4 linked regions of the Drosophila melanogaster genome follow. The protein of the gene in region 4 interacts with the protein of the main gene of each other region in a pairwise test. Each region holds a gene or a part of one and is shown on either strand. Other genes may lie near its edges. The genes, in order: synr, CG13494, CG12081 and bin3.

Region 1 (5,343 bases), on a different chromosome or scaffold from region 4:
ACAACTTGCACAAGTTGCCCAACGACAACTACTCCTAGATCCACAACAACAACTTGCACAAGTTGCCCAACGACAACTACTCCTAGATCCACAACAACAACTTGCACAAGTGGCCCAACGACAACTACTCCTAGATCCACAACAAAAACCTCCACTTGTGCCCCAACGACAACTACTCCTAGATCCACAACAACAACTTCCACAAGTCGCCCAACGACAACTACTCCTAGATCCACAACAACAACTACCACAAGTCGCCCAACGACGACTACTCCTAGATCCACAACAACACCTTCCACAAGTCGCCCAACCACAACTACTCCTAGATCCACAACAACTACTTCCACAAGTCGCCCAACGACAACTACTCCTAGATCCACAACAAAAACTTCCACTTGTGCCCCAACGACAACTACTCCTAGATCCACAACAACAACTACCACAAGTCGCCCAACGACAACTACTCCTAGATCCACAACAACAACTACCACAAGTCGCCCAACGACAACTACTCCTAGATCCACAACAACACCTTGCACAAGTCGCCCAACCACAACTACTCCTAGATCCACAACAACAACTACCACAAGTCGCCCAACGACAACTACTCCTAGATCCACAACAACACCTTGTCCAACTACAACACCATCTGCAAGTCCTACAAGAACAACAACAACCCGTCGTCCTTGCCCTTGCCATCCCCAGCCTCCTTACCAGATTCCTCCTTGGTCATGGTGGTATCCGAACCCGACCTACCCCAATCCCGTGTGGCCCTGGCAACCTAACCCAGTCGTTCCTCAATGGCCACAGATGCCCGGATATCCAAATCAGTGGCCACAATTACCAGGTTATCCCCAGCAATTACCACCGCCGTTGCCATCACCTCAGTGGCCGTGGTCTTGGCCAAAACCACCAGTAGTTCAACCTGGCGACTGTGAAAACATATGCGAAAACCTACTGAAGGGAGTAAAATATCAAGAAGATCTCATCAGAAGGTGCTTGTGCACACGAACATAATCCTTTAAAAAAGAATCACGTAATTGTTTTATTAAAATGTTGTCTATTTAAAAAAATAACTTAAAACAAAGTTTTGATGGTTAAAAATATCGAACGGGTATGGTATGGATGTAGGTTTGATGATATTGAATGGCAAGTCTATCCTTCAGAAGTGGGAGGAAGGATTATGGATGTCACAATGGCGCATGCGCCTATATGGTTTTTGGATTCCCATGTTTTGCTTAACACTTTCGTCCCTGAGAAGCTCAGAAAGCTTGGGCGCCATTCATCAACAAGTTTGCATTCGGACTTCAGCACTCTAATCGACACTTGACTACATTATTACTTATTTAAACGCAATCATTTGACCCATTATTTTCCGACGCCTTTGCGTTTGGTTGCACTGCATTGCTCATGCGACATATGGTCGCACTATATGTTTGGAGCACACATTCGGACAAGTTTAATGACCAATTGCCAAGGGATTGGAGAACTCACTGCTCTTCGAATTAGGTTAGCACATTAGCTGGTTAAGGACAAACGTGGATTGAAGTTAGGATGGGGAGAGAAACAGGAAAACTTAACGAGTTCTAGCATATGATAATGTGTACAGCCATAAACTTATAGCTAACATCGTAATCCGTGCACAAGCTATTAAAAACTTCAAGAAGATATGTCCCTAAATTTTTCCAATAGTAATAAATATATAACCAAATTTACTCTCTCTGTAGGGCATACTACAATCCTAATAAGCTATAAACACTCCAGAGCAGAGCCTCTAATTTGCTGGTAATTTATCAAAATCTAGATTATAATCCTGCTGATGGATTATGTTTCGGGTCGATTAGTACCCCAGTTATAGGACTACTAGAGTTCGTCCTTCGTTCAGCTGAGCTTGCACATTTCCTACACAATAAGCAGATGTTAATGGCTCCCTTCTTTGTTGTTTTTGTTAACTTGTTAATACAAATACACCGTGTGCCAATTCACAAATCCAACAAGGTATAGTGGACATGCCAACAAAAAAGCTAGCAAAGCAAATAACACATTGTTGACAAACAGCGGGCTATTGGGGTGAACCTTCAAAAATCTATTGAACAAAAGTATTACTCGTCATATGTATTGTAGCATTTTAATTAAGGAAACATGTATTTTAATCAATATAACTTAAACTTAAAGATAGTAATGGTTGCACATGTCGTATGCGCAATTTTCATGAAGAGTGGTCCGCTCTAAAGGACACATACGTGGTAACAAGGGGGCTACGCTGGCCCCTGTCCCCACCTCCCGAAATGGTTTGTGGGTGGATTTGGTGTGGCCCTGTCCAATGGCTAGCGCGCAAAAATAATTTTTGTTATTGTGTTTTCCCTCATAAGTGGACATGACGGACCCAACGAAAGCTCATTCAGCGCTGGACAGGCGAACTGGAAAGGTCTAAGACGGAAGATGTCATCGCCGGCAGAGCGGGCGAACTTCGTGCAGCACTTCGGACAGACAACCTGAGTGATGGGCTGTGGCTCCTCCATGGATACGCAGACGAATCCTGTCGTCACGGAGGTCAGCTCGGAAATGCAACCTCGCCAGAATGGCGCCTCTGGAGTAATAGCACTTGAACAAGTCGTCTTACCTTTGCCATAATCAATACCTCTTCCATTTCGTCATCAGAATGTGGTCGAGCAATATGTGCGCCTGGACGAGCAGATCAGCAAGCTGGAGGGCACATGTCCTGGTCCTCGAATGGCCACCGCCGAGGCCTGGGTGGAGCACATTCAGAGCAAGCACGAGGCGATGCTGGGACTCGATGGCATGGGAGTGTCTCCTTTGCGCGAGAGGGAATGGGAAACCGAGGAGGCCCTGCCCATTCCAGCTTACACAATGGGGGGGCGGCAGGGCGACCCAATTGTGGCCAACACGCCCACCAAGGACCTGGCCCAGGTAAATGGCCTGCCATTAGTGAATGTGATGAACTTCCCTCAAGTATATTATTACCATTCGACTTTAGCTTGCCTACAACCTGGGCGTAATTGGCGATGCCCGCAAGGCTTCCATGCACGAGGATTTCTTCGCCAACCTGAGCGAGTCCGCCATGTATTTGCTTAGCATTCGTTACTACGGCGAGATGTTGGAACACACTAAGGTGCGTCTAAAGACTCTGGCCGAGAGCTATGCAGAGCTGAACGAGCTGTACGTAAAGCAAGACGGGATTATAGCGTATATAAGCGGGGGAACGTACATGACTCGGCTGGAGGAGAGCATTGATGAGCAGCTTGAGACGGCAAGAGATACAAGGGATAAGCTGGGCAGCGCACTGGAGCAGTGGCGCATCTGTGGATTACTACTTAGAGCAGCCGCGAATTCCTCGACGCAGGCATTAAAACAATGGCGACAGCTTGGACGGATAATGTGGGTAAATTAATTCCCCACTTAGAACTTGTTGACATGTTATTTCTCGTTCAGAGATCCCAAGCAAAAGCTTCAGTGGGCGTTGGACTGTCGAAGTCTGTTACACGCCTCCACGATATCCCTAGAGGCGGCTCAGCTGGCTCTGCCGCACGTGGAACTCAAGTACATGAGTCATCGGCAAGTCCTAGCCGTCAAGCACTGCAACACCTACCTAATCACGGATATAGCAAACAAAGCGCGGTAAGTTAATATATAGATTTCTCTAGAATCTTCTACAAAGGGAAACGAATCCCTTTTAGGTACGAGCACACCAGTCGGGTCTTCACCAGTTACGAATCAAACATGTCCAAAACCTGCACGTGGCTCTACGAAACCTTTAACAGCACGCTGCGCCCAGACTACGACAGGGCGGAGGAAACTGTATGCGGGCTGGCCAAGACGCTCCGGGATCATCGCGAGGAGGTCTTCAACACGGTGCGCAAGTGACATTAAACTTATTGCTCAATTATATGGGTATTTTGTACATTACTTTAATAAACAGTAGGCATAACATTAGTACCAATAGCTCTTGACTGGCGTGCGTTCCTCTTTGATGCCCATTTCCTCCATAATGTCCATCTCGAATGTGGACAACTTGGGCTGAAAGGTGATCTCGCCCACAACAGCGCCTGAAAAGGACAGACTTGTATGACTAGGAACATATTGAAATGCGATAATAGCCCATACCTGGCGTATCCTTCTCCCTTTCGATATAGGCGTTTGGTGTTTTATAATCGTGCGTCTGGTTGTTCGTCTCCGGGATGGGTATGATTCGGCCAGATCGCAAGGACACCCGCACTTTCTCGCCCTCCTCCGTGAAACGCCACTCAAAGTCGGTGCCCTGAAGATCCGATGGGTCAACCAGACGAATGTCCTTGGTGACGTGCAAAGGTGCCTCGGACTTGATAATGATACCGGGAAACTCCTTCTCACCGCCAACCTTGCGATAGTGCCAGTTCAGGCCCTCTACAATTACCCAATTGCGCTCGGGTATAACCTGGGTGACAATTCCCTGCTTTCCTTTGTCTTTACCCACAAGGACTTCGATACGATCGCCGCGGAAAAAGCTCCAGTCCTCTGAAAAGGATATACAACCATGTTTTATTAGGTTTTAGAGGTCAAGGCTTCTTATTCCTTACCAATTGGTTCCACTAGCACCTTGCGACGCACGGTTCCGGGCATATTTTGCTGGCGGAACTGACCCGTCCATGAACGATTTGTGGTGTAGCGGAATCTCTTTCGCTCCACGGTACGCGGTAGGTAATTAATCTCCTTCGGAGTTTGCCAGTACACCTGTGTTGAGATGAAAAAAAATATTTTAATAAATGTGAAACATTTTCCATGCGATGTGTTACGTGAGCCGCTGTTCACAAGTTGTTCAATGAAAAAGACTCTTCCTGTTACCTGTTTTTTGCTGCGCTCGATGTATTCCTTGGGCAGATTGGAAAAGTTCTTCAACTTGCTGGCCAAATATTGCGTTAAACGCATTTTGAAAGGTTAATTCAATTATTAATAATAAGAACTAGTAAATTAAATGCGGCTTGCAATCAGCTGTTGAGAACTGAAGAATAGCCATTCACAGGAAGGCCCAACAATTTTATTTATATTTAATGTTTATGCGACTCTAAAGATTATGAACACTTGATGTAGGCTTGTAAAATATTTAAATTAATTATTTTCGAGGTTTAAGAAAATATCTTAGCTTATATATTGTTAAACATTATGATATAGAAATTTAAGAACTAGCAATTATTTCCCCGTGTAAACGTGGTTCGCTGTGACTGGCAAGAAGAGGTAAGAAGAAGCAGCTGCTATTTGTGGACTACTCTTGGTGTTTTATATCGTTCGCCGTAGCCCTAAATTGCAATGCAAACCGGCTTTATATAAACAAAAGGTAAGTGCTAG
Region 2 (4,233 bases), about 16 Mb from region 4:
TCCCCTTCCTCATCACTCGGATCATGTATGAGGGCATTGTTTAATGCACTTCACAGCTGGAGGAAACTTTTTCCAGGCCCTGTGTCGACGGCAATGAAAACTTTGTCATGCCTGGCAAAGAGGATGATAAACTTGGGTAAAAATTATGAAACTGAATATGGAAGCGTTGGCGAAATTGAGACAGCAAAACAACAGAGCCAACAGACAGGCAAAAGACATACGAGACTTTTAGCCAAGCGAGGACTAAAACTGAAACTAAAACTGATACTTTTTATGGATGGCAAGTGAAAAATGTAGACAGTTGCAGAACGACTTTCCGGGCGGGGGCCAAAGGCAGGAGGTGAACGGGATTTGCTGGGATGAAAGAAAAATGGCAACTGCATTTCCTGTCTGAGAGCTGACAAAGTGCTGAGTGCATTTACGACTTGGACTTGGGCGAGTGTTTTGTGTCTTTCCTGCAGCTGCAGGAGATGCCAGGAATTTATGCACTCAGTCCATAGTCCACAGTCCGCAGAGAAAGCTCTGGAAATTCCTGACCTGAGGCATTTTCTGTAGGGCCTGGGCTATTTTCTTTGGGCCATCTGATAATCGGCCCCAGCTGTGGCTAATCGGTTTACATTTGTCACACTGGCACTTTGGCCAAGGATTCTCTACTGGTAGATGCCACTTGTCCAGGAATCTGGTAAGTCCTGACGTTTCTCCTTAGAATTATGTTTGGTTAATGTTATATTGAACTTCAGTACATCCTTTTCCAATTACTCTGCCGTAATTTGGCAGGACCGCATTAATTTGTCGGCAAAATAATTCCTTTGGACTTCGATTCATACAAAACATATAATTTTATTAGCACAAGTTTCAGTTTTAATGACAGAATTTCAACGACAGTCAGGGTTCCCTTCCTATAAACTCGTCGCCTCGGCGTCTACAGCGAAAACAGAGAAAGGACTTCATACAACCAAAAAGGACGAGAACACCCATACAAGCACAGCAGGCAGCAATGATAAGAAAAATTACGACGAATATGAACAAAAGTCCCCAAGCACCTAGGTTAGTATCCGGGTGTCCAGTGGTTGTACGGTACGCCACAGTTGTCATGTTAAAGTCTATATATTCAATATCGTATTCAGATAGGGTTGTAGCATCCAACTCGGCCATAGCTTATGGGAAATAAATTGCAAATTTTGTTGCTTTCGATAATAGATTGAACCCTCTAAATGGAAGGAAATATGTATAAGGAAAATCACATTAAATTAACGAATGCTTCTCACCGTTCCTTGCATAGCAGCTTAAGAATTTCGATGACCCTGACCCTTCAGAAATTTTATTTTGGGTATAGATTTTTTTTTAATTTTAAGAGTACAGTCGCAGCTTACTGAAGTCGATATTTTTTTGTACTTTAAATTTGATTTTTGGTTGCCATATATTAAGTTAATAGATATCATTTCAAAATTAAGCTAGATTTTTTTATTTTTTATGAATAGACAACAATTTTGCCAATGAGCATACGGATGCTCCTAACGAATCTGTACCTGAGCACATTAAATTTATAGGCTTTCGAATCGCATATCCTAGCACTACGTACATATTAATAGAAACTTGAATTATCGCCGAATTAATCATCGTCCAAGGTGCAGTCCCCACAGCCGTCGCCACAATCGCCACACCCGCCGCCATCGCCGCAACATCCACCGCCGTCATCGCCGCAACATCCACCGCCGCCGCCTTCACCACAACATCCTTCGTCGCAAGCGAGGCACGCGGAGCAGGCGAGTCCGCAACAGCCGCACAGGCAGAGGAGCGGCAGGCAGATGATGAGCAGGCAGCAGAGGAGCACCATAACAACGATCAGGACAATAATACCGACAGCCATGCTACCCGCCTTGGCGGCCTCTGTAGTGGTGGTGGTGGCGATCGTGGTGCTCCATGAGGATGTTTCCGTCATCCCGCCTTCTACCGTTGATAATGTGTCATCCATGATTAATCACTTGTTGACGGTATTGAAATGTTTAACGTTTAGCTTATTGTAAATTAGAATAAATTACAAAAATTCAGACAGCAAAGTTGAGTGTGTATTCAAAGACTCCTTCAGCACAATTTTCATATGTGCCCACTTTCAATTTAGCATCATATTTGGTTTTAAATATATTCAAGTTCCCCATCTACGAAAGACAAAAGCAAAGAAGCTTATGGGCATAGGTGCATTCGTCACGCTTCCACACGAAGCGACTTCTAACGATCAATCGCACTTAAAATCCTTTCCACAAAAGTACTCATTAAACCCACGAACACACCACCCGTCATACAATGCCCATTCGAATTGTATAATAATTAATGAAATGCATTAACGAAAGCATTTTGCGGGTGGAACTGGGATTGGGTTGGCAGAGAGGGGTGGTCCTCGAACGGGGATCTGGGGAGCTGTCCCTGAGCTCCTGTGTGTACCTGCGCTCGTTAGCGCTCCAAACACCCACTCTGCGAAACACCCCCACTTTAACTCATATGCAAAAAACACACCCTCGCCTCACGCCATCATTATCATAATTTGAATGTGATGCGAGCTTTAAAATATTCATGCGAGTAGAAAGATTTTTTTCAAGTGTGCGCACGTGTGCGCCTGGGTTCGTTATAGGGAGCTGTTTACTGTACCAAGAGGTCGTTGATTATAATGACTGTATTTTGTGCGCTGATTACTCCACAGAGAAAATTAAGAAAATGAGTCAACAACTTAATGCAAAAAACAAAAGGAAGCTCTTCGATAAACAGCGAAATGAATATATATTTTTTCAGATATCTATCTGTTTCGTGCATAATAAATATAAACTGCGTTGGACTTCAACCATAATTAAACACTGAACATTGTGTTAAGTAACTAAAGGTTGATCAAACAACTCCTGATAATATACTCACCGGGAAAGTAAAAATCCACTTCTCGTTCTGAATCACAAATCAGTGATTGCAATTGGGAACTATTAGACACGTTTGTCGGCCAATTGGCGGTGGCAGCATTGAAAGCTCATTCAATTCACTGCCTCACACTGACACCCACACTCAGACATGCATTCACCCACACCTGCAAACTCACTCACACACACACACACATACACACCTTTAACATATAGCATCATGGCACACGTGGCTGCATGTCAAAGTGCAAAGTTTTGTGCCACAAAAAACAAGCTGCGAGGGGTGGCAATGTGGGTAATGGCAGTCAAAAGCGCCGCTTGTCGATGTTTTCTGAAAAAAGAAGGAATGAAATCGTAGGGGAAAGCAGAAAAAAGTTACGTTTTTCACGGCGTTGTTGCTGGCAACCCTTTTAGCTCTGGCAATTTAAACTCGCCCGCTCCAAAGTTGCCCACTTGCCATATCCTGTCGCAGGCGTTGTCCTTGTTGTTGCTGCGGTTGGTGCCTCCGTGTAGTTGCCGCATCCCTCGAACGGCTGAGGATCCTCAGGGGGTTAAGAGCTTTTGGCTGCGGGCTGAGGGGTAACTGCGTGGCATGCAATGCGCGATTGCACAAAGTCAACTTGCACATTAGAATTCGACGAAGGATGAGTTGCAGGGCAACGCGTTGAAAGGCGGAAGGACTAGGCTCATCTGTCTGCGATTCCATCTCGGGGTAAAACTGAATACTAAACAGGCGTCTTCACTACACTAAATATATTTTCAGAAACTATTTAAATCTAAGAAATGGATTTATAGCAAGTTAAGGCTATCTTTCCACTTGAATAGATGCGAATGTAAAGAAAATCATCTTCCGGCAAATATGACTTCCTAGTCGAAAAGTCCCAAATGGTCAGATATCCGTCCCCAATGAAAATCGTACGCAGCTGAATTTATGTGTATTCCCAACCAATCATCATCATCATCAGGAACAAACGCAATGGCAATGATCATGTTCGTATCCTGCCATCATCGCATTCATTGGCACTCAACGGGGGCAGCGAATCGCAATCGTAAACTTGATTGTAATAGTATAATTTTTGGCGTAAAAGCCAAACAAATAAACAAGACAAGCACTTGGATTCCCGGCGTATCCCATCCGGCAGATAATCCCCGCACATATGAGTCGGTGGATGAGGCGGCCGAATTTGCCGGCCCCATTTTCATGCAATTTTTATGACTTGGCTCTGTGCGCTGTTCTTTATTTTTTTTTTTGGGGGGGGGGGGCGAATCGAGAGCATCTTACTCATAATCCGCCCCAATGGACCTTTCTCTGCAGGTCTGCAAAACCATT
Region 3 (5,771 bases), on a different chromosome or scaffold from region 4:
TTATCCTCAAAATGCAGTTGACATCTCGAGTGTCCAATTTGTCTGCTGTCTGCAATTAAAATGCGCTGCTTGAGCACTTAATTGACCGCCCTGCCAGCCGTCTGACTGTGTGTGTGTGTGCTCGTGTGCCTGTGCGTTTCCTTTACTAACAGACACCGCCTAACCAGCCACGCCCACCGCTCAGAGTAGATGTCATTGCCCGCTAACAGAAGAGTCCTTGCTAAATGTATAACCATTGGTAGCGGGAATTGCCCAGACATTGTGCTTTAATCGTGTTTGTTGTTTCCTTTGCTCTCATCCCCGTAGTTTCGCTCGAGGAATCGCAGTTCGAATCACCGCCGTTGACTCAGGAGAAGGTGCTGGAGCTCATCGAGCAGGCATATCCCAATCCCGTGTCCCCCGAGGATCTGGCCAAGTGAGTACATCAAGATCCGTTTGAAGTCTAGACCTGAGATGTAATTAATTCATTTTGTTTAATGCAGGGATTACGGCTGGAGCGAGCAGGATGTGCTGCTGGTGATCAAGTCACTGCAGGAGCGCGGTCTGATCAAGTCGATGGAGTACAATGCGTACACTCGCATCCATCACGAGGACAAGGAGATTAAGGTGGTCAAGCAGATGCCCACGATCGCCTCCAACAAGCAGCCCACCATTGCCATCATCACGGCGCAATATTGCGAGAAGCTCGCCGTGGACGCAATGCTCGAGAACAAGGAGACATTCGTCCGATACACCACAGTCGGTAGGTGGTTCAGTTCAGTTCAGTTCAGTTCGATAGCGAATCGAATTTCCCTCAACTCTTACTAATCAAACTCTCGTCTAACCGTCTTTTCTCTGTTTCTCTCTTTCCACTTCTGTATCCCAAATACCTCGACTTTTGTGGAAACAAAAAAAAAATATATATATATCCTCATCACCACGAAAATTTCGCCATAAACGAATGAATTTGCATACAAATTTGCTGATGTTTACTTGCCTGCAATGATATTAATTAAATACAAACCTTTCACCTTTCCCCCGAATCGAAAAATACCAAACCATGTAACAGATTCCGATCCCAATCTAACGAACTCACTCAGAAAGTCCAAAAAGAAACGAAGATTCGGTAAGCTAAATGTCCAGAATCCACTCCTTAACTCAGAAGCACCCATATGTATATCCAAGGTCAAGTTCATGAGTTTTTTTTAGATCATTAATACTCTAAAGAATCATCTTTGAATCAAAAATAACAATAGTAATGCAATCGATTGAACATGGAGCGTTCGCATGTATCGAGTGCGCACTGTACGCGAATGAGTTGCCATAAACTTGGATAGAAAGTTATGAACTTGGCCTAGAATAATTCGATTTGTTGTAACTTTCGTGTCCTTTGTGTGTCTGTGCTGTATCGTCGTCGGTGCTTTGTTTTGTTTCATTTGTTTTGTTGTTATGGTAAAGGATTGCCCCAGGATACATGACCTTATATTGTACATATACACATGTAACTACGTCATTAGACGGATTGATTAGATCCGTCACACACTCGGTTCATTAATTGGTTTATGTTTTGTATTTTGATCGCAAAAGAATATGGGATGTATGGAAAATTATAATTGGTGTTTCTTTTTCTTTTTTTAAATATGATTTGTTCCTTATTTCATGTTCTTTTCATTCCTCTTTGTATAATTTGGTATATATGTATCTATCAATGTCCTGAACGTAAACCGCTTTCTGTAAGCCAATCAATTGATCCAAACTTTCTCTCTACTCCACAGGCGAATCGAATGTGTATACTCTGGGCAATATCGGGGCGCACAGGATCGTGAGCACCAAGCTCCCGTCGGTGGGCAGCAATCGGGAGGCGATGACGGCGACGGGCAATACCACAACCCGTCTGTTGGGCACATTCCAAAAGGTCGACTATGTTTTCATCGTGGGCGTAGCCGGTGGCGTTCCCCACTACACGGACTATAAGAAGCACGTGCGACTGGGCGATGTGGTCATCTCGTATGTGGACAAACAGCGGGCACTGATCAGCAATAGGTAAGTTACACGAATATAAAATCTTCAATCTATCAATCGCATTCATGTATGGCTCTTCACAGCAAGGAGAAACCGTACGTGTACTTGTACAAGAGCGGCGAGGACGTGAAGACCTACTTCCCGGTGAACGATTCGCTGCAGCAGATCGCCGAGAGCCTGCAGGCCAACATGCAGGTGAAGCGGCCGTGGGAGGACTACCTGAACCAGGCCCAACAGGCGTTGGCCCAGAAGACGGATGCCGACTTCAACCGGCCGGACGCGCGGACGGACAAACTGTTTATGAACATTGGAAATAACGAGGTGATCGAGGTGGCCCATCCCATTGCCGCCGACGAGGTGGACGGTGTCAATCGGTTGCGACTCCATCTGGGTCCCATTGGATCCGGAAGGGATCTGGTGAGGAGCGACGAGCTGCGCACCCAGTTCGCCAGGAAGTACGGCCTACTGGCCACCGATGTGGAGATGAGCAGCGTGCTGGACAGCATCATTGGCAATTGCAGAGAGAGCTTTATACTGGTGAAGGGCATCGCTGACTACAAGGACGGCACGTCCACCAGGAAGTGGCAAAACTTCGCTGCCATTTCGGCGGCGTCGGTGGTTAAGTCGGTTATCTGCGGCATGGACGCGCCCACGAATGTATAGGAGGCGGGGCTTCGAATACCCCATTTCCTCCATTACACCCCAACCCCCCCGCCCACCCCTTCCCTGCAATCGTAGCATTTGATTTGCCTCCAATTTTCGTACCAATCCCGCTGCGGCGTCCCTTTATTTTTTTGTGGCCAGACACATGGGGACCACTATTCGTAAACCAAAATGTGCATAGATTGCATCATATATAATGTATGTTCGCGTAATATTGTATTAAATGATTTCTTGTTATTTATTTTGTTATAACTTTTGTACTACAATCAATCTAATTTACACACAAACACTTGACGTATATAAAAACACATATATACAACAGTAAATAAATATCGCAACTAAGCTTGCAAAAACTAAGAATATTCAATGAGAATTTGTGATTGAGTGAAAAAAAGTTCAGGTAAATTGACCAAAGACATTAGAATATTCTAATTCATTGTTTGGAGCTTCATCTTAAAAATCAATCTAGTGTAAATGCACATTGCCATTGCAACTGTTTCGCTAAAATAGCTAAATATTTAATGCAAATACATTGGATTTTCGAATTTGTCATTTTTTAAATGCAATTGTCAATCAGAAATCTATACTATCGATATCGATAACAGCACGACCCAGTGGAGCCCTGCTATTTCGTGCGTCCGCTCACGCACGCAACTCTGTGTGCTTGTGTTGTTCAAAAATTCGATCCGTTTCGTTTCGTTTCAACATCTGGCAAAACTGGCAGAGCGGAGCGCAGCTAGCGCTTGGTATCAGTGTTTATACCTGTGTGGCCTTCAATTGCTCGCACCTGCGCCCGCACCACCCTGCCCCCGCTCCCAAAAGGAGCGACAACTGCGGCGCACTTGCTTTCCTTTGTGTGTTTTGGCTGCTTGGGCTGCTCGGGCAGCTTGGGCCCAAAGCAAAGATCTCCGTCTCCTCGCACAGCACACTGGTGCTACACGGCTCGCAGCCCACAGCGCACAGCTTATCCAGTTGGCCAAGACATGCTGTGGACGGTGCATCTGGACGGTGGGCCACAGCGGGTCAATCACGCAGCGGTGGGCGTGGGCGACTTCATCTACAGCTTTGGTGGCTACTGCACCGGATACGATTATCGCTACAATGAGCCCATCGATGTGCACGCCCTGAATGCACACACAATGCGCTGGACTCTGGTGCCCCAGCAGCTGGACGACGCGGGTGTGCCACTCAAGTATCCGCTGGTGCCCTTCCAGCGCTACGGACACACGGTGGTGGCCTACAAGGATCGCATCTACATTTGGGGCGGTCGCAACGACGAGAATCTCTGCAATACCCTCTACTGCTTCGATCCCAAGACAGCGCAGTGGTCGAGGCCCCAGGTCACTGGCTGTCTACCCGGAGCGCGGGATGGTCACTCGGCCTGTGTCATTGGCAATAGTATGTACATCTTCGGTGGATTCGTCGATGAGATCAACGAGTTCAGCAGCGATGTGCATTCCCTTAATCTGGACACCATGGAGTGGCGCTATGTTCAGACATTTGGCGTGCCGCCCAGCTACAGAGATTTTCATGCGTCGGTGGCCTACGAACAGGAGCGAATGTACATCTTCGGCGGGCGGGGCGATAAGCACAGTCCGTACCACAGCCAGGAGGAGACCTACTGTCACGAGATCGTCTACCTGGACATGAAGACCAAGGTGTGGCATCGACCGTTCACGGCCGGTAAGGTGCCCGTTGGTCGACGCAGCCACAGCATGTTCGTTTACAACAAGCTGATATATGTCTTCGGTGGCTATAATGGCCTGTTGGATCAGCATTTCAACGATCTGTACACCTTCGATCCGCGCACCAAGCTGTGGAACCTGATACGGGCCAACGGCAAGGCACCGACGGCGCGTCGGAGACAGTGCGCCATTGTGATGGGCACTAGGATGTTCCTGTTTGGCGGCACCAGTCCAAGGAGCGGCTCCTCCAGCTCGCCGGCAGCTGTTTCACCCACTCAAGAGACGGGCGGAGCCGCAGCGGCTGGCGGAGTTGTTCCGCCCGGTGTGGCGCTTATCGACTACAGCGATCTGCATGTGCTCGACTTTGAGCCCACTCTAAAAACCCTGGCCACCATGGTGGTGCTCAAGCACCAGCTGGACATCTCGGGGCTGCCAAGGAGCTTCCGCTCGGACCTGCAGATGCTGACACAGCCGAACAGTATTAGCCGGCCCATCAACCAAGCTGGCTAGCGTCCAAAGCCGTAAGGAATAAGCCGGAGTCGACTGCCACAAAATGGAATGAGGTGGAAAAATGGTGTTGAATCACGGAGCCACTAGTCCGGTTCTTTGTATTGGAGCTCGAATAACACTTTCGGGAGAGATGACGAATGGAGGACCTGAGCGAACGAGGGAGAAGCCCCAGTAATTACAAAAGTTTTAGAAACTTGCTTTTGGTACTTCTGATAGCTGCTAAATAATACACAATAATTATGACCATGCGAATGTAGAATATAGTTCATGAAACATTTATAAATCGTCCTCAAATAATACACAATAATAATGACTATGCGAGTATAGAATATAGTTGATGAAACATTTATAAATCGTCCTTTCGCCAAAATGCCCGATAAGAAAATGAATATAATATCTTAAACTCATTAATCATATTATTCAGTTTTGTTTACTTTGCCTTCTTGCTGAATTTTGTATAGCTGGTTAACTTAACACTATATTAATCTGTGGGCCGTTCATTGCGAACTCCAAACTTGCACGAGTCGGCTGTTTAAATATTTGCTTTTCGCATTAGGATCTATGTGGCAGCCGTTTCGTTAATTTAGACACTTTCAAACCGCCAAGGTATTCATCTCACCTTGGAATTACCTAATCTATTTTTGCGGTCAAACTAGTGACAAATCTCTATAACTAATTTACAGAGATCATCTCCTTTTAGGCAGTGTATGCATATATATATATATATGGTAATTGTGGATGTAACTCCCCTTGAACGCGGTGTTCCAGGCAGGAAACAGTCATCGAATCACTTGAAAGCAACAGCCTCGCACGCAATGCCAGTAAGAGTAAGGTCAGCAGCGCTCTAATTGCCTATTATGAGTGGTAGTTGCAACGCAAGGCCTCCAGGTGCGGAACACAGCGAGTACTTGG
Region 4 (6,284 bases):
TTTTTTTTTTATATATAGACTTGAAAAAATAGTGATACAAAATCATAGATAATTTTTGAGTTAAGGCATTTACCAAAATGATGTTATGAATGCATACTGGGTACTATTTATAATCTTGATCTATTGCGGCCATTAGCGAAATTTTTTAAAATTTGTATATTACAGTTTTCTTTGCTCTGAAGTCTAAAACCAATAAGGATACTCAAGCGCAACATTATAGGGAACAACAACGACAATAAAACCGCAGCAAAAATTAAATGAAAAGCCTGAGCAAAAAGCAGCAAGCGAAACTATAAATAGCTTCACAATGTGATAAGGGCACACATGGAAGCATTGAGCGTTCTCCGAACAGTAGATGAGAAATTCAGAGCAAAATGACTGGTTTGACGTAACACCAGCAGTGGCCACGAAAGCAATCACAAGTTCCAGGATTGCCTGGACTATGCAGAGCAGTTCGGATTCCAGGACTTAGCAGGTCAATTGAAAAGTCCACGGCCTACCATAGTAAGAGACAAATGTTTTTGACAAAATTGGGTTTATTATTCAACATAGTTCGCTTCAAGAGTTAACACACTGAGAAAAGCGACCATCCAATTTTCTATATCAGATATACCTATATCTGAGAATTGGAAATAGACGCTGTGACCGGAAGCAATTCAAAGCCCATTCATGGATTTTTCCCATCGTTTTCACATCGATTTTCTTTTTTCCAAATGCTAATAACTGTTGATGGTCCTTTTATTTTTTAAATTTCTAGTGATTGTTTTTTAGCGCCGTAATTTATAGATATTCTAGTTCAGTTTAAACAACGTTTAGTCAATCTAAACATGTCAGGCTTTTAGCAAGTTTTTTCGCAAGTCTGTACGACAATCAGTGTGTGCGTTTGTATGCTACTGTATAATTCAAGCTACATTGATTGGGTGTTTGATTTGACGTAAATTACTTTATCAAAGTAATGAATGTTAGGGAGTTATGCAAATAGGATGCTCAGGACTTTCTGACGTTATTAACACTGGCACGTCTTAAAACCTGGGGATATTCAGGGTATATGGTGTAAGTGTAAGAGTGACATATATTTTGTAAGGAATTTTTAAGAAAATATAAACCAAAAATATAAACCAAATACAAACCATAGTTTGTAATAGTTAGTTTTAGTTTGCTGGCATAGTGTCTGTCCGTTCGTATGAACGTCGAGGTCACAGGAATTAGAAGAGCTAAAAATTTGAGATTAGATTCCGGAGACCATGACGCAGCGTAAATTTATTAACTGCCTACAACCCGCCAAAAACTGTCACGCCAACATTTTTTGAAAATGTTTTGATAATTATTATTTATCGTTTGCACTTCCACTAGCTGAGTAACAGGTATCTGATGGTATATGGGCTCGACTACAGCGTTCTCTTTTGTTTCTTTTAATTTCGCGTCAAGATTTTTAACTTTCTTTTCACACTTTACGAAATAAAATGCTTAAGGTGTTTTACTAAATTACAATACTGCAAAACGCAGTCAATTTGCGGTATATAAGTGAGTAACTTAATCAGATCCGCAACACATTAATAAATTTTACATGGTATTAACTGCAAGGGACTTAAATTTCCGACGGTACAAACTGGAATGTATGTAATACTAATGTTACGCGACCAGAATAAGGTACCTCATACTTAAAGTAAAGATAATATATTTCTTATGCCATTTAATAAACACTTTTATTTAATCAAAATTTCTTAATTTTTACTTATTTCCAAATCGCCATGTTTAAGTTTTCTGTTGAATTTCCCTAATACCTGCATAGACTGCCAACATCTAGTGTTGGTGTTGCGACTATAATATTTTTAATTTGTTGCTTTTTATTGTTAACAACAGCAACAGGTTCGTTGACCAGTCAACGAGCGCTCAGAGAGCAAAACAAATAGAGATATGTAGATACAAACAAGGTTCAAAGCAATCAGTTACCCTCTACTCAGAGTGTTGGAGCGATTTTTCGAAAAGGGTTCGTTTTTTTTTAGAAAGTGTCCAGAAATAGCATTTCGTTTGGTAAAATGTAAATATTTTACAATGTAAGCCAACCAAAATGAGCACAAAAATTAGATTACAATAAATACATCATGCACATAGAAAGGTAACAATTATTTTTGTTGTCAAATAATATATTGCACAGTTTGGGGAGCCTACTAAGAAGATAATATAACATATTTACATATATCAGATGGGCCTTACAAAGTTTAGAGATGTCCTGGGACTCCTAAGATGTCATCAAGGTACCCATCCAAATATTTTAAAAATACTGGATTTTTACCTTTTTCTGGTTATTTTCTTTCTTACTTTTCTTCATAATTACAGATTTTTTCACATCAAGGTCATCGCGATGTGGGTAGTTCATTAACGAACGCCTACAAAACGAAGCTTCACTAATGAGAGTTCGCCGGCTCGTTGACAGATGCATTGGCGCGGATTAAGAATGTGCAGAAGCAAACAAAGGATTGCGGGACCTAAACCAACAACAGCCGGGACAAAAACTGCAGCGGCAATGCAGCAGGAACAATGAAACAAACGGTCTTTTGGCTATTTCACCCATCTTATATTCTAACTTGTCCTACGCACATTTTATATAGCTCCCTAAAAACTGAGAGAAAATGATATAGCCTAAATAAGGAAAATTCAAAATACTTAAAACCAATAAACTTGTTACTAGATAAGTTCCTTCATAATGGCTATAGATAATAGTAATTAACTATTTTGGAAGTAGCAACCTGATTTCTTTCAGAGGATAAGAAAAAAATTACTTTTAAAAAGGTAGTTCCTTTTAAAATTTTATACATTTTCTATAAACTGTAGTGAAAGTTTTTATAAGTGTATCAAGTTAAGAATGCAAACGGGAACCATTCACCCACTACTTTAAAATTGTTAAGCCGCCTTTTTTCAACTTTTCAGTTTTGCGCTTACTTTCCTTTCCATAAACGGGAAACTCATAGAACAAGACACTGTAACCATAATCCACATGCGTGTAATACCTTTAATGTCACTTTTAGCTAATATTCGGAGTGACATGAAAATGAGAAAATAATTTTAATTTTGAATTTTATTTGGGAAAAAATAGCTTCGTGGCCGAATCTTCCTTGTATCTGTTACTTTTCAACAAATCTATATAAACATTTATGTATATATATTTAAACATCTTCTGGCTTGTTTAAATTTGACTACGGTTTCCATGATACTCAAATAAATGAGTGTCTTGATAGAAAAAATGAAAAAAATATTTAGTTCGTAATTACACTTTATAGTGTTTTGTAGGAAAGTGTTAACTTTGTGACAAAGCGCACCAGGGGAGCGTTCGAAGTGGACTCCTATTTTTACTTTTTCTATTAAAATCTATTTTTAATTTAATACTTATAGCAGCTCCATAAGACAGTTTGATTTGTTTTTTGGCAGTTCGGGTAAAAGAGCCACTGTGCATCGAACTGCTAACCCACATATCCGACCCGTTCGCCCCACCATTATTATCCCTGGAACCAACTGCCCACCCCCACCACCGCTTTTGACGAATTCCTTCGGTTGGGGTGAATAATATGCTCTCCGAAGCCTAAAAGATTGGCAAGAAATTTGAAGAATGAGAGGAGCCAAAAGCCTGGAATCTGACATGGATGTTTTGTGTTGATTTGTATATATGTTTTACCTAAGATTTTGTATATGGAAATGCAAATGGAAATATTGCACATTCGAAAAGCAACAAAAACTCAAAAAGGCCGGGCAAAAAAATAAAAGACTGGCAATTAACTTTGACTTCTGAGGGGCACGCGATAAAAGTTATCGATGACTGCGAGAACGGTTGGCATGAGGGGTCACTCAGGAAAAACAAATTTGATTGCTTAAATGGCTCCTAAAATTGAAAGCAAAAGTGGAAGTCAACTCGATAAGAGAGGGTATACGGGGACCACTCTTCTGGTCCATATCCTATTAGAAGGTTGAAATGCACTTAACGTTTGTTTATGCACACACACACAATTAAGAAACTACTCTTGTCCAAATACTCTGCCTGGACTACTTCCATTTCTTCATAGCTTTCCAACTGATTGCTAACTTGTGTGTGCTCGCGAAAAACAGAAACCCTAGGAACAGCTGAGTGTGCACACAAATCCACACGTGCTGCGCCTTTAGACAAAACAAAAATGAATCTTAAGGACAAAACACTTACCGCCCAGAAAGCCCCACGATTGCTCAGTGGCGACTTGAACTTTGTTTTCACTTTTCGTTTCGTTGTTGCCGTTAAATTCGCCACACTCTTGATAAAAAAAAAAAAAAACCGTAAAATATGATTCCGTTCGCGGAGCTCTAATAAGTGCGTCAGTCTCCTGCAAGAAAACACTTACAACTAACATATTTTTATATATATTCTCGGTTAACAGAGCCCACCAGTGTTGCCAATTTTAAAAATGAAAAAATTAGTAATCGAAAAACAATGAAGTTTATAATAGTATGTACATATGCATATGCATAACTGTTGTAAGAAAACAACATAAAATGAAGACATCTTGCTAATATGAGGGATAATGTGATAATGTTCTATTTGGCGAGCAGAGGTTTCATATTTTTAAGAAAGAGCTACCACACTGGGTCTTATCGATTCAATTAACAATATGAACAGCTTCTGATGGATTGCACACGCTTGTGGAAAAAAAAAGATGGAACAGCTGACCGAGAGTTAGCATGTTAGCAGCTAACAGGGGACGGACCACAGATGTCTTAACAGCACTGGTACACAAATCGCTTTACAGCACGCTGTTAGCGGGACTACCGATAATAGTTGCTGTCGATAACAGATGCTGCCATATGTGAGAAAGAAGAAGAGCGAAGAAAACAGATAACTCCAATGTTTGCAAAACAATTTGATTAGTCTTGAAGGAATCCGCTTTAGGCTCTTAGGAACCCGCTTTATAGCGAGCACAGGCACGCACTGGCACACACAGCAAGCAAAGAGTGACAACATTATCCGTGAAGTGGACATATGGCCAACAAGAACATGCGTAACACCACAACCAAAGTGGAGGCCCTGATTGAGAGCTGTCGCAGCGAGGGCAAGTGGCACCGGGTCATCGAGCTAACGGATGAACTGAAGACCGGGTCCCCGCACAATGGTAAGAAGATTTCCGCTGATGACGGTACTCCTGGAATGACTGCCTTCTTTCGTGGAACAGAGTGCCTGGCCAACTTTCTGGTGGGGGAAGCTCGTCTGGAGAGTTACCTGGAGGAAAACGCTCTCGCGTCAGACTCAAATTTTGGTCGCGCCAAGTCTGGATTGGCGGAGGCCCGGCGTTTCCTTCACTTGGCTTTGGGTGAGAGTGGCCAGAAGGCGGGCATCGCCCTGGACGCCTATTTGCTGCTGGCCAAGCTGTGCTTTGCCTGCGGCGAGTATGAGCAGAGTCTAGACAATTTCGTCAAGGCAGAACTCAACACGCTTGCCGAGAAGGAGCTGACCCTGTAAGTTGGGAAAAGGTTTTCTAATCAAAATGTTCTCATCTACTACGTGGGGACTTGCAAATTAAGATGAATGTACACATCAACTCTTAATTAATAGCAAATTTGCAAAACTTATCACTTCTGCTTACATATATATAAAAGTCGCAGCCTGAAGATCCTTGCGGAATCGTATGCCATCAAGGGATTGTGTCTGGAGCAGCAGACTACGAAGCCGTCATCTAAGTTTAAGAAGGCCGAAAAGGACACGGAAATGGTAAAGTCCTCGATTTCAGTTTTAAAACGTAACTGATTTAATAATTTCTTACTCCAGATTAGCTGTTTTGAGCGCGCATCTGATCTGGGGCTGCTCTATCTGCAGGAATACGATCTCGTTAGTGGAAGCAGTGGCTCGTCCAACAACTCGACAGCTGGTTCTACGTTGAATGTAAACGCCTCTACTGTGCAGCCGTCGAGCAGCAGTTTTGCAATCAGCAGTACAATACCGGCGAGTGGTCCAAGTGGACTGGAAATGAACCGCAGGATGGGCGCCATCCTAGAGACCGCCCTGCAACGGGCACCCATAGTGCTTATTAAGACGGAAAAGCTTCAAGAGGCCGTTGAACGGTATCGAATCATGCTAAACGCCATCGAAACGAGGGCTACTCAATCGTTGCGCCTCACGCTGGCCCGCCAGCTAGCTGAGGTTCTTTTGAGAGGGGTCTCGGGCACGATTTACTCGCCTCCTTTTACCGGAAAATCTGGAGGTGGGACGCTGCGAGGAGGATCCTCCAAGAAACTTTGGAAACCGCGTAAATACGCAGCCCGCCAGC

The links.
Region 1: the proteins of bin3 (region 4) and synr interact in a two-hybrid assay, tested with the Drosophila melanogaster proteins (one large-scale study listed by BioGRID).
Region 2: the proteins of bin3 (region 4) and CG13494 interact in a two-hybrid assay, tested with the Drosophila melanogaster proteins (one large-scale study listed by BioGRID).
Region 3: the proteins of bin3 (region 4) and CG12081 interact in a two-hybrid assay, tested with the Drosophila melanogaster proteins (one large-scale study listed by BioGRID).

The regions. Positions count from the first base shown.
Region 1 is NT_033779.5:4,940,350-4,945,692, forward strand, and holds synr (sayonara), read left to right. Parts: upstream 1-2,392; 5' UTR 2,393-2,502; coding exon 2,503-2,595; intron 2,596-2,661; coding exon 2,662-2,931; intron 2,932-2,998; coding exon 2,999-3,399; intron 3,400-3,453; coding exon 3,454-3,639; intron 3,640-3,698; coding exon 3,699-3,885; 3' UTR 3,886-3,951; downstream 3,952-5,343. Other genes in the region: Sgs1 (salivary gland secretion 1), read left to right, coding at 1-1,017; mRpL24 (mitochondrial ribosomal protein L24), read right to left, coding at 3,952-4,067, 4,126-4,515, 4,578-4,731, 4,843-4,926.
Region 2 is NT_033778.4:21,952,798-21,957,030, forward strand, and holds CG13494 (uncharacterized protein), read right to left. Parts: upstream 2,049-4,233; 5' UTR 1,976-2,048; coding exon 1,613-1,975; 3' UTR 1,445-1,612; downstream 1-1,444. Other genes in the region: CG43405 (uncharacterized protein), read right to left, coding at 886-1,155.
Region 3 is NC_004354.4:8,585,504-8,591,274, forward strand, and holds CG12081 (uncharacterized protein), read left to right. Parts: upstream 1-3,307; 5' UTR 3,308-3,647; coding exon 3,648-4,859; 3' UTR 4,860-5,271; downstream 5,272-5,771. Other genes in the region: CG12065 (uncharacterized protein), read left to right, coding at 307-415, 483-742, 1,049-1,105, 1,755-2,022, 2,085-2,664.
Region 4 is NT_033778.4:6,212,660-6,218,943, reverse strand, and holds the start of bin3 (bicoid-interacting protein 3), read right to left. Parts: upstream 4,377-6,284; 5' UTR 4,193-4,376; intron 2,748-4,192; exon of another isoform or gene 2,341-2,747; intron 2,259-2,340; exon of another isoform or gene 2,207-2,258; intron 2,120-2,206; exon of another isoform or gene 2,050-2,119; intron 505-2,049; exon of another isoform or gene 325-504; intron 1-324. Other genes in the region: Ttc7 (tetratricopeptide repeat domain 7), read left to right, coding at 5,003-5,132, 5,193-5,475, 5,617-5,728, 5,786-6,284.